2 linked regions of the Oryctolagus cuniculus genome follow. The protein of the gene in region 1 binds, or shares a complex with, the protein of each later gene. Links are inferred from orthologs where the notes say so. Each region holds a gene or a part of one and is shown on either strand. Other genes may lie near its edges.

What was found.
Region 2: SURF1 (region 1) and CMC1 share a complex: the UniProt entries of both Homo sapiens proteins name them as parts of the MITRAC (mitochondrial translation regulation assembly intermediate of cytochrome c oxidase complex) complex. The link is inferred for Oryctolagus cuniculus from reciprocal best matches to the Homo sapiens genes SURF1 and CMC1.

What each region holds. Positions count from the first base shown.
Region 1 is NC_091432.1:235,373,927-235,381,062, forward strand, and holds SURF1 (surfeit locus protein 1), read right to left. Parts: upstream 4,414-7,136; 5' UTR 4,401-4,413; coding exon 4,326-4,400; intron 4,242-4,325; coding exon 4,190-4,241; intron 3,712-4,189; coding exon 3,578-3,711; exon of another isoform or gene 3,543-3,577; intron 3,469-3,542; coding exon 3,386-3,468; intron 3,140-3,385; coding exon 2,948-3,139; intron 2,653-2,947; coding exon 2,580-2,652; intron 2,487-2,579; coding exon 2,324-2,486; intron 2,248-2,323; coding exon 2,166-2,247; intron 2,092-2,165; coding exon 2,022-2,091; 3' UTR 1,968-2,021; downstream 1-1,967. Other genes in the region: RPL7A (large ribosomal subunit protein eL8), read left to right, coding at 169-289, 507-656, 749-889, 1,024-1,103, 1,285-1,415, 1,607-1,676, 1,750-1,854; SURF2 (surfeit locus protein 2), read left to right, coding at 4,493-4,570, 4,659-4,813, 5,019-5,122, 6,377-6,556, 6,638-6,789, 7,006-7,092. UniProt on the Homo sapiens protein: Component of the MITRAC (mitochondrial translation regulation assembly intermediate of cytochrome c oxidase complex) complex, that regulates cytochrome c oxidase assembly.
Region 2 is NC_091435.1:164,608,051-164,615,300, reverse strand, and holds the start of CMC1 (COX assembly mitochondrial protein homolog), read right to left. Parts: upstream 4,496-7,250; 5' UTR 4,236-4,495; coding exon 4,217-4,235; intron 3,052-4,216; exon of another isoform or gene 2,869-3,051; intron 1-2,868. UniProt on the Homo sapiens protein: Component of the MITRAC (mitochondrial translation regulation assembly intermediate of cytochrome c oxidase complex) complex, that regulates cytochrome c oxidase assembly.

The DNA.
Region 1 (7,136 bases):
GAGGCCTGCCGTGTCCGGCACGGGGGCCGCGGAGCGGGGTGCGCCGGCCCTGCGGCTGCCGGGTCGGGGAGGAGGACCGGGGAGCGCTTCGCCGCAGTGCGGACCCCAGAGGGGACGGGCCGAGGCGGGGGCGGCTGTAACGGCCTCGGTCTCTCTCGCCCGCGGCAGCCGAAGGGGAAGAAGGCCAAGGGGAAGAAGGTGGCCCCGGCCCCTGCCGTGGTCAAGAAGCAGGAGGCCAAGAAGGTGGTGAACCCGCTGTTCGAGAAGCGGCCCAAGAACTTCGGCATCGGTGCGCGGGGCCGTGCGGGCCGGGCGGGCGCGCGGGCGGGCGGGCGGGCGGGCCGGGGCCGGCGCAGATGATGTGACGGAATATTTGCTATCCGAGCGCGCTGACGACGTCCACACCACCAAGATCGCTGATGCGCCGGCCGGCCGGGGCGGGCGCGGGGCGCGGGCGGGGGCGGGCCGGGCCGGGCCGGGCCGGGCTCACGGCGCTGCCCCCCCAGGACAGGACATCCAGCCCAAGCGGGACCTCACGCGCTTCGTCAAGTGGCCGCGCTACATCCGGCTGCAGCGGCAGCGGGCCATCCTGTACAAGCGGCTGAAGGTGCCGCCCGCCATCAACCAGTTCACGCAGGCGCTGGACCGCCAGACGGGTGCGGGGCGGGGGGCGCGGCGGGGCGGGGCGCTCCCGCGGGGCCGGGGCGGGGGGCGGCGGGCGGCGAGGCTGAACCCCGCGTCCCCGCAGCCACGCAGCTGCTGAAGCTGGCCCACAAGTACCGGCCCGAGACCAAGCAGGAGAAGAAGCAGCGGCTGCTGGCGCGCGCCGAGAAGAAGGCGGCCGGCAAGGGGGACGTGCCCACCAAGCGGCCGCCGGTGCTGCGGGCGGGTGAGCGGGGGGCCGGGCCCACCCAGCGGCCGCCGGTGCTGCGGGGCGGGGGCGGGGCCGGAGCTGGACAGGGGGCAGGAGAGCGGGGCCGGGCCCACGCTGCGCGCTCACGCCCGCGCGTGCTCGGGCTCCAGGCGTGAACACCGTCACGACCCTGGTGGAGAACAAGAAGGCGCAGCTGGTGGTGATCGCGCACGACGTGGACCCCATCGAGGTGGGTGCGGGCAGGGGCGCGGCTGCGGGGAGGGCCCCGCGCGGCTGCGATGACGACACGTCCGCGCTGAGCGCAGCTCTGAAGCGCACACACGAGCTTTTTAACCCTGAGCAGCTGCGGCCGGCGGCCCGGGGCGGGGGTCCGCGGGGGGGCCCCGCTCAGCCGCGCCTCCCCCTCGCAGCTGGTGGTCTTCCTGCCCGCCCTGTGCCGCAAGATGGGGGTCCCCTACTGCATCCTGAAGGGCAAGGCCCGGCTCGGCCGGCTGGTGCACCGGAAGACCTGCACCACCGTGGCCTTCACGCAGGTGAACTCGTAAGTGCCCGCGTCCCCCCAGGCCCCCTCCCCCCAGCCCTGCCCCCGCCAGTGATGGTCGAGAATTTCTTCACCTGAACCAGCCGTGTGGTCAGTGACGTCTGAGGCGCCCGCGCCCAGGCAGAGGCCGCCCTGTGCCCGCGAGTGAAAACCAACCACGTGTCCCCCCCCCCCCCCCCCCCGTGTGTCAGGGAGGACAAAGGGGCCCTGGCGAAGCTGGTGGAGGCCATCAGGACCAACTACAACGACAGATACGACGAGGTGAGCGCCGCAGCGCCCGCCCCTCCCTGTCCAGCCGCGCGGCCGGCCAGGCTGACCGCCCCTGTCCTTGCAGATCCGCCGCCACTGGGGAGGCAACGTCCTGGGGCCCAAGTCCGTGGCTCGCATCGCCAAGCTGGAGAAGGCCAAGGCCAAGGAGCTGGCCACGAAGCTGGGGTGACCGCGGGCTGCTTGTACATAATAAAGCTGGTTTGTCCCAGCCCGTGTCCCTGACTCAGTGACGCGCGGGCACACACACACACACACACACACACGCAGGGCTCAGGTCAGGGCCTTGGTTCACACGGCGGCTTTATTCGGGGGGGGGGGGGTGTGGGGGCAGGGCTGCTACACGCCAGGCGCTCGGTGCAGGAACTTCTTCACCCACAGGTACGCGGTGGCCGCACACAGCCCGTACCTGCAGTGCGACACGAGTGGTCAGCCAGGCCTCTGGCGGCTGGGGCAGGGCGGGGCTGGGCAGGGGGCGCTCACCAGGTCACGATGTACTGCAGGTGCTCGTTCCGCAGGGTGACTCGGGTCTGCCCGCCGATGGGCCCCCCAGGGATGGTGCTCTCTGCAGGAACAGGCACGCTGCTGCCCTGCACCCCCCCCCCACGTGGGCAGACCCGGGCTGGGTGGCCTCAACCTACTGAAGTCCGCGTCAATGAACACGGGCTCCGAGCCCGCGGCCCTGGCCATGGCCTCCAGGTCCCGGTAGTGCCAGTGGTTCCTCTCGGGGTTGTTCTCAGGGACGAAGGGCTTCCTGGTCTCCGTCAGCCTCACCATCCCCACCAGGTCGACCTCGCCCTCCACCTGCAGGGCAGCAAGAGCCGAGTGGGCAGCAGGCCAGGGCCGGGACGACCGAGGAGACCGGGGGAGGGCAGGGCCAGAGCTGTGGCCGCTTACTTGGCCTTTCTGCCGGGTGTCCGGGTTCAGCCTCCTCCGGGGGACGAATCCCCTGTTCACCAGGATGGTGACCCTAGAGGTGGGCGGGGAAGGGTCCTTGAGGAAGATCCGGGTGAAGGTGTCCAGCCTAGACAGACTGGGTGGCCAGCTAGGCGTCCCCAGCCGTCACCAGGGCCTGGGGTGGCCGGAGCCCCCTTCACTTCCGCCTGCCCCCCTGCAGGCACAGCTGGGGCTGCCACGCACCCTCCCCCTTCAGGGAGCTCCAGGCAGTGTAAACCAGGGTTGCTTAGCTGGTGGGGGCCATCGACCTGCACGGCGGGGGCGGGGAAGGAGGCAGGGAATCCCGTGTGCACCTGCCCACTGCTCACCCCAGGTCCGTGCAGTGGAAAGGGGTGACCACGTAGGCCCCGCTCTCGGTGGAGGAGGAGATCCGGCCGGCCTCCCGGGCCTCGCGGGCAGGGTCCACCATGGTCCGCGGCATCATGTACAGTTCCTTGGAGTGGTCAAAGTGGCCCCTGACCTTCACTGGCCTGTACTCCAGGCCTCTCAGTTCCATGGGACTACACGGAGACAGGGGGTGCAGGCTGGCACAGAGCAGCCCGGGCGGCCCGGGAGTGTGGGTCTGCAGCCCAGGCCAGCGTCCTGCACAGCTGATGGACGCACGCTGCGTGCTGATGTGTAACCACGCGGGCGCGCTCTCCAATGACAACGACCCACCCCCCCACCCCCAATCACTGCGCACGGAGAGGAGCCGGTGCCGGGCAGTCCTGTCCACGACCAGCCCAGCAGGGGGCGGCCACACTCACTCGGCCGGCAGCGGGATGGGCTCGGCCATCACTCTGGACTCCAGCTCCTCGATCAGTTTCAGCTTCCACTGGCGGCGCCGGACCTGCCGAGGACACCCGGCCTGAGCCCCAGACCACGGTCGTGCGGCCCGGAGCCGTCCCGCCGGGCCCTCCTCACCTGCCACGTCCCCAGGCCGAAGGACCCCTCCTCACCTGCCACGTCCCCAGGCCGAAGGCAGTCACGGGGATGAGCAGCAGCAGCCACTGCAGGAGGCGGTCGTCCTCTGCTTTGGAGGCCGGCGCGTCCGCCGCGGAGCTGCCGCACCTGCTCGGCCTCCCGGCCGCCCCTGCCGCGGGGTCAGACAGAACCGGGGCGCTAACTCAGGCCAGCGACGCTGCCAGGGACAGCGGGGCGCAGACCTCAACAGCCCTAACCTGTGGGGGTCCAGCAGGCAGCACCCGCGCCCGGCCCACGCACACACCCGGGGCGCGTTTGGTGGCCGGTGCCATGGCCCTGGGTAGCTCCCGGAGCCGCCCCAAGCCTTGCACCCAGAAATGCAGGCCTTCACGCACGCACTCGCCAAGTGGCTTGGCCGGGCCGCGGGCTCCGTGTGCACCCGGGGCGGTGGTACCCAGAGGGCACGCGCGGGGGTGGTGGGTGGTCCCGACGGCGGGCCTGGGGTCGCCGGGCTCCGTGCGCGCTGCGGCGATTGCAGCCGCTGAGCTCACAAACGCACGGCGCCGGCTTCCCGCTTCGGCCAGCAGCGACACCGTCCAGCCGGGTTCCCACGACACCCCCTCGGGGCCGCGCCGAGTCCCCCTCACCTGGGCACGGCAGGACCCCCGGGGCGCTCCTCCAGTAGGCGGTGGCGGGGGCCTGCGGGGACGGGGGGCGGCGGCTGAGCCCCGGGGCCGCTCCCACCCTCCCTCGCCCCGCCCGGCCCCGGCGCCCCGCGCTCACCCGCCCCGCGCACGCCGCGCGCAGCAGCGGCCCCAGGCCCACCGCGCGCAGCCCCAGCCGACTCGCCGCCGCCATCGCACCGGCGGCCTGCGGGAGCTTCCGGGGCGGAGGGCAACTGCTTCCGGGTCGGCCCGCGGCCCGCCCCCCGCACGCGGCGCGCGCCTGCGATGGACGCGCTGCCGGCCGAGGTGCGGGCGTTCCTGTGCGAGCACCCGAGCCTGCGGCTGCTGCCCGGCGCCCGCAAGGTCCGGGAGGCGGGGAGGGCCGGGGCGCGGGCACGGGCGCGGGCGCGGCGGGGGCGCAGGGCGCCGACCTCTGGCCGTCCCGCCGCAGGTGAAGTGCGCGCTGACCGGCCACGAGCTGCCCTGCCGGCTGCCCGAGCTGCAGGTCTACACCCGCGGCAGGAAGTACCAGCGGCTGGCGCGCGCCTCCCCCGCCTTCGACTACGCCGAGTTCGAGCCTCACATCGTGCCCAGCACCAAGAGCCCGTGGGTGGCCCCGGGGCCGGGACGGGAGCGCCCTGCCTGAGCGCGGGGCGGCACAGGGTGGGGGTCGCGGCTGTTTCTGTGAGTGGGCCGGAGGGGAGCGGGTGGTGGCGAAGGCCCGGGCCCGGCTTCCGCTGGCCCGCCTGGGTCGGCGGGTCTGCGCCCGGGCTGCTGGTCGGCGCTGACCGCCCCCTGCCCCGCCCCGCAGGCGCCAGCTGTTCTGCAAGCTCACCCTGCGGCACCTCAACAGGTGCCCCGAGCACGTGCTGAGGCACACCCGCGGCCGCCGCTTCCAGCGAGCCCTGCGCCGGTGTAAGTCGCCCCGCGCCCGGGCGGGAGGACGGCCCGACCCCAGACCCGGTCGGCGTGAGCTTCGGGAGGGCTCCCGGGGGCTCTGGGAGGCCGGAGGGGACAGCGCACCCGGCAGGCAGAGGAGGAGGGGGCCTTGACGGTCTGAGGATGGGGTGGGGGCGCCCAGGACGAGGGGCTGGGGCTGGGGGAGAGCTGCACACGGCGTCAGCTCGCGCTTAGAGCCGTGTTCTGGGAGTGGGGGTTACAGGGCAGCAGGAGAGAGGTCTTCATCTGCTGGTTCACTCCCTAGATGGCCACAATGGCCAGCGCTGGGCAGGCCAGGAGCCTCCTCCGGGTCTCCCACGCGGGCGCAGGGGCCCAGGGACTTGGGCCGTCCCCCACTGCTTTCCCAGGCCACAGCAGAGAGTGGAGCAGCCGGGACTCGAACCGGCGCCCACATGGGATGCGGGCACTGCAGGCGGCGGCTTCGGCCCCAAGTGTGAATGTCTGGTTTCCTGCCGGAGACAGGAAGTGGTGAATTGGGGTTTGCCTTGAATGTGTTAAAGTGGGTGAGGAAGGGCGGCTCTTGGGTGAGGCACCTGGGAGGGCCCAGAGGGGACAGCGCGGTGGCCACGAGGCTTCACGGCGTGGAAGCCGCAGGAAGGGGGTGCGGCCCCCCCCCACTCGGGGCTGGGAGTTACGGGGGGTGTGGCTGTGCCCTCCTGCCCCGGGTGGGCGCAGACTCGGGTTTGGGGCGGGAAGATGAGGACAGGGGCCTGAGGCTGCTGGCGCGGGCCAGACCCCTGGCCTGGCAGGGATCCGAGCCAGGAGAGCTGGCTGTGGGCAGGGCCGGGGGATGTCTCCTGTGAGGCCGCGGTTTTGGTGATGGATTGCGGAGCTGGCCGGGAAGCAGCGAGGCTCCGTGAGGGCGGCCTCGGGGCTGGGCACGGTGGAGACACCTGTGTGGGTTCCTGTAGTGATGGGAGTGGGCGGCCACATCAGAGGCCAGGAGGCAGGGGCCATGGGGACAGTGGGAGGTGGTGGGCCCCATCCTGGGAGCGAGCGGCGTGTGACGGCAGGGTGAGTGCCGACAGCCCAGCTCTCAGAGAAGGCGGGGACAGTGGGCTCAGCAAGGACCCTGCGGCCAGCTGCAGTGAGCCCCCGGCCTGGCCGGCACTGAGCCTCGCTGGGCCCCGCCTGCTCACGGCCGTCCAGCCTGGCGCACGCACGCAGGCGGGGGGCGGGAGGGTAGCGGTGCACGGCCGTGTCTCCCAGATGCAGAGTGCCAGGAGCGAGGCGAGGAGTATGTCCCCGCCTGCCTGCTGCAGCGGCGACGGCGCAGGGACCAGCTGCACGGCGACGGGCCGCCTGCCCCTCAGCACGCCTTCTGGGAGCCCGCGTCCGGGGACGAGGAGGGCGCCGCGAGTGACGACAGCATGACAGACCTGTACCCGCGTGAGTGTCCCTGACCCTCCCGTCCTGGCGGCTGCTCCCCGCGCAGCACTGGGTGAACCACAGCCGGACGTCTGCTTGCAGCCGAGCTGTTCACCAGGAAGGCCCCGGGAGCGACCGAGAGCGGGGACGGTGCCGATGGCGTCCTGACAGATGAAGAGGACGCGAGGCCGGGGCGCCCGGGAGACGGGGAGGAGCCGGGCGCGGCCCAGAAGCCGGCGCCGCAGCACCGGAAGGTGAGCTCTGCGGGTTCTCCAGAGGCCAGCCGACCCCGAGATGTCCCCAGCGCCACGGCCGCGGCTGCTCCGTGGGAGCGGGCATTGGGCCAGGCCTGCCCCTTGGCGTCCACCTTGGGACCACGGCGGCTGGGGCGGGGGTCTCCCTGTGGAGTCGAGCTGCCTGCGAGCTGGCCGTGGGGAGCGGCGGTAACCCCCTCTCTGCTTGCGCTACAGAGGCAGCTGGGCTCCCTAAGGAAGACGACCGGGCGTCCCCGCGGCAAGCCGAAGCGCTTTGGCTCCTGCAAGCAGTCGGGTCCCTGAGGCTGAGCGGCGCTTCGCCGGCCCCCACGCCCGGGAAGCGGCGG
Region 2 (7,250 bases), on another chromosome or scaffold:
CTTTAGCAAAAACACAAAGTGCAATAGTTAACATGTTCTTAATTTCCCCCTCAACCTCCTTATTTTAAAATGCAAAAATAATACGGGGTTGTGAGAAAGAATGTAAAGTTGAATATCAACATTCTTTTAAGTAGACCAAACAAAATTGTGCCCTGATATCAAGTACAAGGTAGTATTTCTCATATTTTTGACGTCTGTAAATTTAGATCTCTACAAATACACATTAACATCCCTAAGCAAAAATAATGATGCTACTATAGTCAATCTGAAGTAATTCTTTTCTGTGTTTATAATCATGTAAATGAAGGTCTGAAGTAACCTTAGCAGTTATCTGATATATCTCACTCTCCCTACCTCACAGCCTCAAATTTCAGCATTTAAAATTGATTATTGGCAAAGTCTGGAACAGTGAGTGAGTCCTACTAACAGCCAAATTTGGTGTTTATTCCCAGCAGCCTCCCTGCTGGTAGGCAAGTGAGTCCCTACCGCCAAGAGAAAATTAACTGGCCTGTCCTTTCTGGTCATCTAGCCTCTAATTGAAGAGATGGTGAAATCCGCTGAAAAAAATATTTACTGTATACTACACAGGCAGGACACTGCCTTTCTCAAGATTACAGTTTTCATCTCAAACTGTTAAAGAGACACATACCATCTATAGGTTTCATTTTATTTATGTCTTAAAGATATATTTATTTGAAAGGCAGAGTGATACAAGACAGAGGGATTTATCTTCCATGTGACCGTTCACTCCCTCAAATGGTCACAACAGCTGGGGCTGTACTAGGCTGAAGCCAGGAGCCAAGAATTCCATGCAGGTCTCCCTTGTGGGTGGCAGGGACCCAAGGATCTAAACCATCATCCACTGCTTCTCAGGTAGAGAGCTGAATGGGAAGTGGAGCAACCAGGACAAAAATCATCATTTCAATATGGGATGCAGGCATCCCAAGTGCTGGCTTAACCCACTGTGTATTTTTCAAGGAAAAAAACTTAGGTCTAGAATAAAAGAAACAATATAAACAGATTGTATGATATTTTGGTGAGTTTTTAAAATCTTAAATATTAAAATTTTTTTGAAGACTTGAGGATGGTTATAATTAGGGAAAGTCTCCTAAGAAACTGACTTTAAAATGAATTGTAAAAAATGAGCAAGCATTAGATTTGGGGATGAGGGAGAGAGGGAAAGTTTAGAGAAAAGGAATAGCATGTGCTTAGTATTAAAAAAAAAAACGCACTGATAGGGTTATTGTAGGTATATCTTAAACCAATGTTATTCAAATGTTCTGACCATAACCTCTCAATAATTTAACGGAGATGGGACACACGCCTGTGTATGTGCATACATGTGTGCAAGGACCCTTTCCTATCTGACTCAACACTACCTGAACTCACTGTGCAAACTAAGGTTCCCAGTAGAGTCAGACAACTTGTTTTTTGGATCAAGCTGATCTTCCTGTGACAGGGAATGCTGGAGCACTCACATCTGCAACCTTCTCAGGACTGCCCTTGGGCAATGGTAATCTTTTACAGTTTCCCCTGCTTCCAGCTCCTACAGGTAACCAGCGGCTGACAGAGGGCATAAAGCTCAGCTCCGTTGCCCATGAGACAGGACAGACTTTGTACTTTGTGGGTGCACCAGAACTAACTAGCTAAGACCAGCTGCTACATTTTGAGTAAGACTTGGCTCCTGGGTAGCTACCTTGTTAAGCCACATCTTTGGACACCTGCATTCCACATTAGAGTGCCTGGGTTAGAATCCTAGCTCCACTTCCAATCCAGTTTCCTGCTAATTGCACTCTGGAAGGCAACAAGTATCACAGCTCAAGTCCTTGGGATTCTGTCACCTATGTGAGGTATCCGGGTCATGCCTCAAAAGACAGCCCTCTCAGGAGGGTCTTTATAAAAGCTGAGCTTGGCTCAGTCTCCCTCTGCCCCCTGGATCACCACATGATTGTTCCTCCCCTCGCACTCCACTAACCCTCTCCCAGCCTCACCAGTTAGCTGAACCAGAGGGACTTGCCCTATTTTAGACTGTGAACCTTCAAAACTGTGAGGCCCTACAATAAGCCTTCCTTCACAGGTAGCTCACCTTTGATAAGTAGTTGTAGTGAACAAAAAGCTGACTAATGCAACAGCCTTCCCTGAAACCACATCCTAACCCTTCACTCTCCTGTTCGCCTTACTCCCTTGCTTTTCCCCCTAAGGGCACTCCATTAATGAATCACTCAAATGTAAAACACAAAAGAGGAACCCACACGGAGTGACCAGATATTGTTCTGCAATAGTACACCAAAATAAAAAGAACCAGGACGTCTCAGAAAACGGGCCAAGTGGCAAGCCAGTGACATCCTATGTGAAGAAAGAAAAAATGCTCCCCAAAATGGGAAACTACCCCCAAAGCTCCAGAAGCTAGATAAAGAAATTCGCTGGCCAAATTGTAAATAGTTTGAAAACAAAAATAATTAGGTCGGGGCCAGCGCTGTGGTGTAGTGGGTTAACGCCCTGGCCTGAAGCGCCCACATCCCATATGGGCACTAGTTTGAGACCCGGCTGCTCCACTGCCAATCCAGCTCTCTGCTATGGCCTGGGAAAGCAGCAGAAGATGGCCCAAGTGCTTGGGCCCCTGCACCTGCATGGGAGATCTGGAAGAAGCTCCTGGCTTCAGATCTGCACAGCTCCAGCCTTTGCGGCCAACTGGAGAGTGAATCATCAGATGGAAGACCTCTCTCTCTGCCTCTTCTCTCTGTGTTAAGTCTGACTTTCAAATAAATAAATCTTTTAAAAAAATTATGTGCAGTAACAAGTATAAACCATTGAAAAAATAGTCACTCATGAGTCCTATGTTGGTTTTTCATCAGCGTATCTACATACCTGACACAGGATACTCCAACCTCTGGAAATCCTACTCTTCAAAGCCCAGATCCGCCGTTTCATTGCTCCATGAATTCTGACCCAATCGCTGAACCACAAACTGGTCTGATCATTATGCACTGTGGAATTCCTTTGCACTTCTACCAACTCCACCACTACCATTAACCTCTGTGCCTCCGTTTCCTCATATGTAAAAGAAATCAAAGGTCATTGAGACTACTTAGCTTGATTTTAAAAAGTGGTTCAATGAACACTATGCGTGTATTTTGTCCTCTGGGGGTCCCAAAAGTGTCTTTTCCACTTCGGAATCTCCAAATGGTTTGGAGCCATATCACCATCCAACACCTTGAGGCTTTGTATTTATAAAATGAAAGGAATTGGGAAAGGGGGGTGGCGGGGCTCAGGTTAAAGGCCCAGCATGCAGTGCTGGCATCTCATAAGGGCACAGGTTCCAGTCCCGGCTGCTCAACTTCTGATCCAGCTCCCTACTAATGCTCCTAGGAAAGCAGTGGAAGACGGCCCGAGTGCTTGGACCCCTGCACCCGCATGGGAGACCGGGAAGAAGCTCCTGGCTCCTGATGGGCTCAGCTCTGGCGTTTGCGGCCACTGGGGGAGTGAACCAGCAGATGGGAGACCTCTGTCTCTAGCTCCCTCTGTAATTATTTCAAATAAGTAAAATAAATCTTTAACAGCAACAACAACAACAACAAAAAGGAGTGGGCAGATCAATCACCGTCCCCCCAGGAGGCTTCTGTATCTACACCCTTGCATAAACTGCCTCAACGCCCAAGACGCAGGTGTGGTTCTGCGAGGAGGCGCCTTAGAGTAACAGAACTCTGCAGCAAAGGCAAGCAGGAGGAATCACGACAGTCAGAACATTTCAGAGCCTGGGGACCCCTTCCCCGAGAGACGACTCGCCACAGGAATGGACCCTCGAACCGCCGTGTCTGAGGACGAGCCGGGGGTCCGGGAATTCCCAAAGACAACGTGAACTCGAGCTCCGGCTCCAGTACGAAATGTTGCTGGGTCAAAGGTGCCTACACCATCCAATGTCTAGTCTGGGCCCTAAGGAGCGAAAATGACGACGAAGAAAGCCGTCTGAGCCGAGGAGGGAAAAGTCTGTTTGCCGCAAACGGACCACAGTTCCAACAACAAAACCCAGAGCCCCTCACCTAACCCTAACCTCGCCCGAGAGAAGCAACCAGGGCCGGCTGCGAACCCCACGGCAGGAGCCGGCGGTGAAGGCAGTGTGCGAAAGCGGCGCGACCTCAGATCGGACCTTGCCCAGCCCGGACGCCCGCGGCACCAGCCCGGCGTCCCGCTGCAAACCACGCATCAACCCCCGTACCTGCGGGGTCGAGCGCCATCGCGGCGGGCAGGGAACGCGCGGCGCCGAGGCTCCGGGGAAGGGGGCGGAGAGGGGAGGAGCCCGCGCCTGACAACACGTGCGGCCGCCCGGAGGGTCCCGCGACCGGAGCCCCAGGATGGAGAGAGGAGGGGCGACACACGCAGCGGGGGAGGAGCGCAATGCCCTTAGCGAGGACCCCACGAGCCCTTTTATCGCGTCCGCTACTTCCTACTTCCGCTGCCCGTTACGCCTGCGCCGCCTTGGCCCCGCCCACAACCCGGTAACTAGGGTGGAAGCCGACTCCCCGCGGGAGCGACCCGGGGAGGGGGCGTGGCTGCGCGTGCGCCGTGGGGGCGGGCGCTTCGGGGCGCGCGCAGCCTCCGTTTGGCCTGAGCGAGCACCCGGGGATAGCCGCGTGGGCTGGAGCTGGGTTTAGGGGGTTTGCTGACAGCGCTCCCTTTGGCCACCGCTTTCTAAGCCCGAGCCTCCCACGCTGTATCTGCGAACCGGCTGAATCATCTCGTTTTTTCATTCATTCATAAACTGCACGCCAGCCAGGCTGCAGACGGGGTTCTGCGTCCTAGGGGGAAATAACAATAAAAACAGGGTCCTTCTCCGGGGGTGGGGGTGGGGGGCAGTGCCTGCAGGGGAGCGCTGTGAAATGCGGAGGTAGCGTGCTGTCACGGTTTCTCCCCCACATCCGCGGCCTGGGGCGCTCGATAATAAGAGCTAGGGGTCCCTCGGTTTTGTGACATAGCATTTTGGGGGCGGGGGATCGTTTCAAACCGACTCCGTGCATTCGGCCTGTCCTCCCTAGACTCCCCCTACCGCTCTTCACAGAAGGAATTTTCGGGAGTGGGGCGGGGGCGGCGGCCACGCAGGCTCAGCTGCCCCGGCTCCCACGCAACCTTCGCGGGGCGCCTGCCTCTCCAGTCCACCTTGAACCTGCTCGAGGCTCCTGCGGCTGGGGGCAGATGGGACAGATGTTTAGAAAAACAAGGAGCAGCTGCCTCTTCCCTGCAAGGGATTCAGGGCTTTCAAAACGATCCCCTCCCCTCCTACCTGCGGTCCCTCCTCCCCTGCTGCTGCTTCCGCCTGGTCAGTTGGCAGAAGAGCGGAGCCCTGGAGCCGGGCTGGGAAAGTGGGTCTCGGCTCAGCAGGTCTTCCGTTTAAGGGCCTAGCTGGGCATTAGGGCCCCGATTACAGCTGCAGCTTGAGGTGCCAAGGTGAAGAATTAGCGCTTCCTACAGCCAGGCAGGACATCGGGTCCTTTTCTTGCATGCTGTGTAAATGTGCTTAGACCCAATTCGGAAGGCAAAGACGAACCTTCTTGAGGAAGAGGTGGGGTGTAAAGACCCGGCTGATCGAGCTGAAAGACAGGATTTGGTAAAAGTTTTATAAGGCTGTTTTATGAAAGTATGGTGCAGGATGGGTGCAGGTGGAGAGGAGAGAGCCAAGAGGTCTGCAGGCAGTCACTCAGGGGCACGACTGCGTTAGTCTGGGCAGGAGCTGAAAAATGGCTGAGCTGGCATGTGTGGAAATGTAAAACAAAGGGGTAGGTGAGAGAGTAATTGCAAAGAGGAATCTGTGCGTCCTGATGGGGCTTGGGAGACTAGCGCAGGCCGTTCAGAGGATTTCTAGGTGATTCCTTTCCTCATACAAATGAGAACATCATGGCAGTGTGCCCATTCATGTCTAGAATGAGCTGCCCTTGTGGCTCATTATGGGGCAATACCGAGACAGACAGCAATGAGGAAGAAAATGCAGTTACCTGGGGAGAGTGGCAAAGGTTGAACCATGCTTACAGCCTGTGGAGGCAAAAAGAAGTGCTCAGAATGTAGAGTGGACATTCAAAGTACACACACACGAGAGAGAGAGAGAGAGAGAGAGAGAGAGAGAGAATGTGTGTCTCCCTATATTTTTCTTTAAAAAAAAGGATTTTATTTGAGATTTGAGAGGTAGAATTACACACAGAGGGAGAGACAGAGAGAGGGCTTCCATCTGCTGGCTTACTCCCCAGATGGCTGCAAAGGCTGGAGTTGAGCAGATCTGAGGCTAGGAGCTTCTTCAGGTCTCCCACGCAGGTGCAGGGGCCCAAGCACTTGGACCATAGCAGAGCTGGATTGGAAGAGGAGCTGCCGGGACTCGAACTGGCTCCCATATGGGATGCTGGCACCGCAGGCGGAGGCTTAGCCTACTGTGCCACAACGCCAGCCCTCTGTATTTTGCTTAATCTAATATGGAGGCATGTTCAAGCAGAAACCATCATCTTAATTGGTTGTCAGCTCAGTCTTGACTGATGCAGTATGCTTATTTTTTGAAATTGAAGTGGTGAGCCAGCCCCTGCTTGCTTCTAACTGCCCAGTTCTGAAGTAAAGGCTTTCCACGTGTAAATCTGCGCAGCCCTCTCTTTGAGCCACTGAGAATCAAATTTGCAAGACTATTAGAAGCTCCATCCCTACCAGCCTGGAAGAACAGTAACCATGAGTCCCTGGTGGCCCTGTTTTCTGGGCAACATAATTTAGCACCCAGTCCCCACAGCCTGTGCCTTCTCTGACTTGAATGGACTCAACTCTGTGGAGGTCACCATGAAGAAGTCTCCCAGTCTGGATGGCTTACACGACAGAAACTTACTTTCCCACAATCTGAGATCCAGGTCTCAGCAGGATCGGTTTCTTCTGAGGCTTCTCTCCTCGACTTGCATTTCCCTGTGTGTGCATTTTTGCTTTAAGATTTATTTGTTGTTTATCTTTAAAGTCAGAGTTACACACAGAGAGAGGTCTTCCATCTGCTGTTTTACTCCCTACATGGCCACCACTGCCAGTGATGGACCAGGACGAAGCCAGGAGCTTCATTCCTGTCTCCCTTGAGGGTGACAGGGACCCAAACACTAGGTTCATCCTCCACTGCTTTCTCAGGCCATTAGTAGGGAGTCAGATTGGCATTGAAGCAATTGGGACTTGAAATAGCACCTGTATGGGATGCGGCATCAGAGGCAACGGCTTCAGCCCTGTGCCAGCCCCTTCTGTGCCTT